Linked DNA regions of Saccharomyces cerevisiae S288C. The gene in region 1 interacts genetically with each later gene. Each region holds a gene or a part of one and is shown on either strand. Other genes may lie near its edges. The genes, in order: YFT2 and YHR210C.

What was found.
Region 2: mutations in YFT2 (region 1) and YHR210C together harm fitness more than expected from each alone (negative genetic interaction), as found in Saccharomyces cerevisiae (one large-scale study listed by BioGRID).

Annotation. Positions count from the first base shown.
Region 1 is NC_001136.10:1,104,364-1,107,726, forward strand, and holds YFT2 (Yft2p), read right to left. Parts: upstream 1,465-3,363; coding exon 640-1,464; downstream 1-639. Other genes in the region: MCM21 (Mcm21p), read left to right, coding at 1-584; auxilin-like protein SWA2, read right to left, coding at 1,732-3,363. UniProt on the Saccharomyces cerevisiae protein: Fatty acyl-coenzyme A (CoA) diphosphatase that hydrolyzes fatty acyl-CoA to yield acyl-4'-phosphopantetheine and adenosine 3',5'-bisphosphate. Preferentially hydrolyzes unsaturated long-chain acyl-CoA substrates in the endoplasmic reticulum (ER) lumen.
Region 2 is NC_001140.6:520,112-523,903, forward strand, and holds YHR210C (aldose 1-epimerase superfamily protein), read right to left. Parts: upstream 1,627-3,792; coding exon 601-1,626; downstream 1-600. Other genes in the region: CRG1 (S-adenosylmethionine-dependent methyltransferase), read left to right, coding at 1-201.

The DNA.
Region 1 (3,363 bases):
TAACATTTTTCCCTCTTGTGGACCCTATTGACCTTAAGATAAAAGATGCTAGCGGTGAAATATTTGTTGATAGAGAAATGCTGGGAATACGACTGGAAGTCTTCAGCGAACGGACATCCCAATTTGAAAAACCTCACTATGTATTGTTGAAAAAGAGGATCAAATCGAATAGTTGGTTCCTGTTCAAGCATACAATCCCGAGTTTCATTGATGTCCAAGGTATATTTGATGACACCAATGGGGGACTAGTGATATCTCATGATGACGCCTATTTATTTGCTAAAAGAGTCTTCCTGCAACTTGTGGAAGTACAGAAAAGACGACAGATTTTTAAGGACTTAGAAGCTAAGAAGATAATCCACGACTTAGATTTAGATTTAGAATCTTCAATGGTTTCGTTTTTTGTGAAGGATATTAAAGTCGAGTTGTTTGTAAAACAAAATGAAATAGTTTCATGTTCAATATTGGACGATATTCATGATTTTAGTCAAAATAATAAAAGTAAATGGGAAATTGCATTGCTCGGTTCTTTGGATGATTTGGAATTAAAATTAAACCATTCTTTCGCGACAATATTCAAGTGAATGTTAACAAAAATATACTTTATAGAAAGAGGATAGAGCTAATTTTCTCTGTTTATCATAGATATAAGTAATTGTGTAGTATCCCAATTTTGGGTAGAATGTGGTATATGAAAACAGGGCATATGAAACCCATAAGGCAACCTAACACTTTTTCCAAGATAGTATGATAATAAATAGCGGTAACCCAGAGAATACATATCCAAATTACTAGGACAGCGCAAACAATGGCAAGGCAAGCTCGTACCCACTTATTCACAACCCAAAACATATCTTCAGCTTGAACAAATCTACTGAATAAGTGAAGTTCCATCCAAAGAATCATGCTTATACTCACAAGAAAGCAGAAGTGTCCACTAATGTCAAACCCACCATCCCATTTCCCATTTTCTAGACGGCACTTTTCAGCTGATGTCGTTTTACTACCAGAACTGCATTCTCCCCCTGTCCAAATGAAAACATGATCGATAAATTGGAAATTCAAAAACAATAATAGATATTTTAGAACGAACTTGCAAGCATATTGAGTGATCATAATACTGATTATTCTATTTTTGAGCAGAGGCCAATGGTTAGTATATGTTAAATAGGAAGAGCTAGTTTCGGTACTTGATATTGGTAAAGGCAATATATCCATTCTTGCTAGATAGTGGAAGTATATTTGCAGAAAAGCCAAACTAAAGAATAAAAATGGCCACAGTTGGTTCGCTTTGTATGCAAAAATAACATTGAAAATATTGGACGATTTCAATAGAGCGCATGTCTCTTTTTGATGGTTTAATGTTTCTGAAGATACTACTATTGATAATAATGCGCCTACAAAAACTTGAAAGGGGTAAATGAGATACGCCTTCCTTGACCAATAATTGAGCTGACGTATCATAATCTTTTTCAATTTTTAGTCGTTCAGTGGTTTTAATACAATGCCCTATTTCTATTGTGTTTTAACATTGTGATATTTTGAATTTTTTTTTTTTTTTTGCAGATTGTTTTTCATATTAATCAAATTGGGTGCCACTTGTAAGTCAATAAATGAAACTAAGCCTTTCCATACTTTTTCCTAACGCGCTTTGAAGAATTTGTTTTCCTATATATATTTGTATAAAGTACATATCAAAAACAACTGAGCGAAGCAGGCACACAAGGGAAATCAGTTAATGTCATTCTGCAGTTTGAACTTATCCCAAGCAATACTTAAAGTACTGAAAATATTCTCTGCAATCATCTTATTTTCCAGGGACAAGGACTCTGGTATCTTATCAGGATGTGTCTTGGCTACAGCTTTCATGTATGTAATTTTGACCCTCTTAGGCATAACCAAATCTTGCATAGAGACATCCTTCCAATTGCACCATGTTAGTAAGCTGGATAAATTTGCTAACAGATGACGAATGTCATCGTCTTTGCCATCCTTCCAGGAGCTAATTTTCTCAAATACTTTATCATATAGCGCCAGTTTAGCGTTTTCTAGCTCCCGTTTTTTTATTTCTGAAGTGCTATCAACAGAAATTGGAGAATTTGAAGAAGAAGCGGTTAAGTTCTGTTTTTTTGTTGCAGGCGAGGTTGTCGTTGTCTTCTTCTTAACGGGCATGGATTTTTTAACAGGGGGAGGATTAATAAAGTCTTGGCATCTTCTTTTTCCCTGCATGATTTTATCATCAAAAAAATTCTTCTTAATCAGCTCTTGGTATGTTTCTAGTGCTTTTTTGAAACTTTCTAAATGTTCAAAAGACTCAGCACGCCTAATCATAATCTTTGGCCAGATGTCGTTAAATGATCTTTCAGGGTCACTATTTGAGATTTTATTCTTCCACTTAGCTTTGCTTGATGGGAATAATTCCAAAGCCATGCTGGAGTTTTCTATGGACTTAGAGTACTCACCGATTTTCAGTTGCGAGGCAATAATGTTTGATAATGCAATGATCCTCAATGGATGATTTAAAGGCAATGTATTTAAAGACTTTTCATATTCTTGTAATGAGTTAATATAATCCCCGTTCTTGAACAAACTAGTACCTTTCGCCTTAAATTCGTTATACCCCGATAATTCAATATCTGAGATGGGTATTGTAGAGTCAGTGTTGCTGTTTTCATTGAAGAGGGTGCTATCTTCATTGCTTTTACTATTGGTGAGATTTCCTTCTGAAAAGTCGAGAAGACTATCCTCTATCAGGGGCTCATTTCTTCGCGAATTTTCTTCAATTAGTATACCAGAAGTCGGTGAGGAGGAGTGGGAGACATCAGGCGCTGTCCTCTTTGTTATATCAATCTTTGTTTCGAAATCAGTTAAAAGATCTTGATCCGGATTATCGGCAGGTGGTAAGTTCTCTACGACTTCATTATCTTCAAACAAAATTCTATTGGGTGAGTCGTTTACTTGAGGCAAATCATAATCCTCAACCTTATCATGAGTTTTTGAGTAATTATTCAGTCTATCATTTGCCTCAGGTGGGAAGGAGGTCCATTGGTCTACCAGTTTCTTACCCTTATTGAAAAAATCAGTGGCCATGCTGAATAAATTATTGCTATCTGTACCAACAATGTTGGATAATCCTGACTTTTCCATTTTTATACCACTTTCTTTCTTTCTTATAGCTAGATCGTTGCGCTCCTTTTGCTTTGACTTTAAAATCTCCAAATATCTTTCATAAGTTACGTCATTTTCGTAAAACTCAGTGGCTTCTTCAATTGATAAACCTAGAGACATCAATCTTGCTATTTCCATATCCTTAACTTCATCAACTAAGGCGTCATCACCATTGTAAAGGTGGTCTTCCTTGCT
Region 2 (3,792 bases), on another chromosome or scaffold:
GCTATTACTCTCAATCAATTTAAAGAGTTTGTGAAAAGCTGGAGCATATACACTTCTTGGGCTAGAGATAATCCCTCGAAACCGGATATTGCCGATATATTCATTAACGAGCTCAAAGAAATCTGTCATTGTGAAGATTTGAATGTACCTTTAAAAATAGAGTGGTCAACGTTTTATTACTTATGTAGGAAAAGAGAATGAGGTTTACTAAATTAAAAGAAATATATAAAAAGCTGATTTTTTTCTTTTTTTAAATATTTCCCAAATGCTAATAAATATTAAAATATGGCAAAAAGAAAATAAGGTGTTGTTGCGCAGTTGGGAGTAATTTAAAACCGTCAACATATGCTCTAAAAATTTTATTGGCTCTAAATTCCGACCTCTGAATGTAATTATGTTTTAAAGCGATACGTAAACTTGTTACTGTTAACATTAAAAGATAATGCAATCATGGTAACATAATAAAGTCTCAAAAAATTCTTAATATTAACTATAACATATGCACTTCAGAAAGCTGTTTCCGGATCATATCTCATTATAAAAAGCTCAATTTATAGAAAAATAATGCGACAGTGCAAAGTAAACAACTAAATTTGGTGCCTACACCGCAAAACGATATCGAGTCTTAGAAGTATATACCTCACCACGTCTCAAAAGAACGCAGTCTCTCCATCCATCACGGTTGATTGCGTCAACATATCTGCCTTGTTCAACGGCAAAGCCAGATCTCGGCGTAAATCCATCACACAAGTTGTCACCTGTGTAAAATAGGACAGTTGGTTCTGTTGTTGAAACCTCCAATGAAAGTCGTGATGCCGGATGATAAGCCTTGAAGGCAGGGACGAGCTTGTTTACACTTACTGAGTCTGTCGTTTTCAAATTCTTATTTTCATCAACAATGAAAGCGTAGTCATAAATCGGGCCATCATCCTGCAGAATGGTAGGTTTGGAGGAGTCAAAAGTAGCAATTTTTCTTTGAACGATTTTACCGGTTGGAATTAGTGCTCCTTCGCTTACTTCCAATGATTTATCTGAGCAGAGCCTAACCTCCGTACCGCTAATGGATTTTTTATCCATAGTTTTGTTTAAATTGAAGTACGTGTGATTCGTCATGTTGATGGGAGTAGCCTCACCGCTGACCAGTTTTGCCTCGTATTCCAAGTCCAAGGTCATGTCAGCAACGTTCAATGTGTACTTTAAGTTTACAGCTAGATCTCCCGGAAATTCATTGGGCAGTGTGCGGTCATCCAATAACGTAAATTCAACAATGTAAAGGTCATCAAGAGGATTTTGGACTTTGGATGCCTTATACTTCTTGAGATGGAAGGAGCTGATGCTACTGTGGTTGGTGTTTCCACAATTGTTCACTGTCAACTGATGAGGTCCATCTTCCATACTGAACATGCCCTTGTAAATACGATTTGCATAACGGCCAACAGTAGCACCAATGTAGTTGTAGCCATCTGATATATAGCCATGAATATCAGGGTATCCTAGAACAATCGATTCGTTGTTCACTTTCAAGTCAAGCAAAGTAGCGCCAAGCTCTGAAATTGTTGCTTGAAGCTTTTTTGCATCACCAATAGTGATGACTTCATATTCACCGCCAGCCTTATTATTTGACATTATCACTTTTTGGCTTTTTAGGTGAATTTACTTATTGCAGTAACATAATGTACAATTGAGTTCCAGTACTTCGTAGTACATTCTGATTTTATATCTCAGAGCATCCAAGGTGTTTACGCATGAATAACCAAACCATGGAGGAGTTACTTTTACCTTTTTTTAAGATATTCAGCTAGTAACTAATTGTCGGAAAAACTTAACAGGTACAAGGCCATATTATCACGTAACAAACCTAATTTTTGTACGATATTAGTGCCCGAGAATTTCTCCGTAGCGTAATTTTCTGCGAGAATTTCTGCGCAGTGCAAAGATATGCGACCTGACACTCTTTACGAAACTTTACCCCTCCCCCACCTCCACCTGCATTTATCCCGTCAAAAAGTGTCAATCACCTGGATGCATAAGGAGGAAAAATTATTCCAAGGATGTTGGACAACGCGAATTTTGGAAGTGACTTCTCATAAGCTTCTGATCTCTACTATATTCTTGTAATTTGGTGGGGTAGTGCAGGCTTACTGTGCGATGAGCAAATCCAGCGTATTGCTCACAGCGATAGGCCTTTGAAATGATATTGTTTGAATGCAAAACGCAGAAATGATATTCAACTTCATAATCTCATTAAACAAGATAGCATGCCAATAGAATTCCATTTTTTCCGATTCTTAGGCCATTTACAACCAAGTATCAACTTTCGTATAATTTTATTTCCATAATTATACGCAAATGCTGCAGTAGTTGCACATAGAATGATGATACGACCTAATAAAGGAAAAGGGGAATCTGTTCTGAGCTGAAAACTGATTCAAAACTCAATTTGGACACTCGGTTCGGGTGCTGGCCAGCAATAGTTTAGTGTTATCATGTCATAATCTTCCTCATAGGTTTCAATGTAATATCGATAATTACAAAGTAGTTCCTTTTCATTTAAATTTATATGCAAGAAGATAAGAGTTGATGTAGCAGTGCACCAGTTTTGCTTTACAATTCTTACAGTTTTATGAAAAATAATCTCCAATATGCCATGCTGAACTGGCATTCTTTTTGAGTGCAAAAGGAGGTTTTGGAAAAACAAAGTCTTCTTCTGCGTGTTACTCTGAAAATGTTGAAAAATAAGCTGAATGGGGCATTACATGTTTTCATCCAAACATGCCTTGTCAATAACGAGATTCGCGACGTATTCTTTTAGTATTCTGTTCCTTTTTTTTTTTGCTCCGCGCGCACTTGAACATCTTGCATATTTTTCTTTTCTGTTTTCATCCAGAGGTTGTGTTCTAGGACTTTCTGACGGAGGAATATCATCAAATCATCACAATAAGATCAATTGCATGGGTTCCAGCACTTAGCCAAATGTACAAATCTTGATATTTACCGGAGACCAACCCTTAGTTTGAAGTGTGCGCTACCAGGGAATCTTCTTCGGTCATTATTTTCTATCTTCACGATAATCGATCCTCCTCCTATACGTTAATATCGACTGATATCTAAATACATCGTTGAAGAACGGCGGAAAAATACTTATTTTCAGGTTGTCTTCGTTTTCACTCACGATAGCAATATGGATCCTTTCACAGCTCCTATCACCGCTGTAGTTTTTTATGACGCTTAATTTCCTGTTAATAAGTAAATAAGGTAAGTTGAAGGTCCTTCATACTGTGATCTGCAATAAACCACATGGCTACCGCACTTCTTGTCACTATCCTATGTGGAGAAAACCCAGAAAAAACTTTAAAGCGTGATTGAAATCAATAATTTGGCAAAGAACTAGAACCATACGCAAGAAAACCTTCCAACTTTGGCATTGTACGCAGAAATGAGACACGTTCAAAGCACAGGTCTTGAAATTTAAAAAAGTTTCTCAAAAGTTCTCCCAAACCTTCAATTTCTATTGGTATAACAGTATTCTAGGAAGAAAACAGGCGAAGAAAGTTTCTTTACTTTCTTCCTTTAATAGACTTTCATGAATATCAAATGCTGTTGTTTTCAACTAAATCAGACAAGCAAAGGCGATTGCTAAAAGTGAACATATGGAAAATATATGGAAAAAATCTAGAGGCAACAAACGTTCGGGTTTCCTTTTAACTCCGAGAAAGAAAAATCATTAGAACTTCGTGTTAATCCTAATAGAGTTCAAATATGCTACTAGTCGTCAGAAACCTCAGTTACATG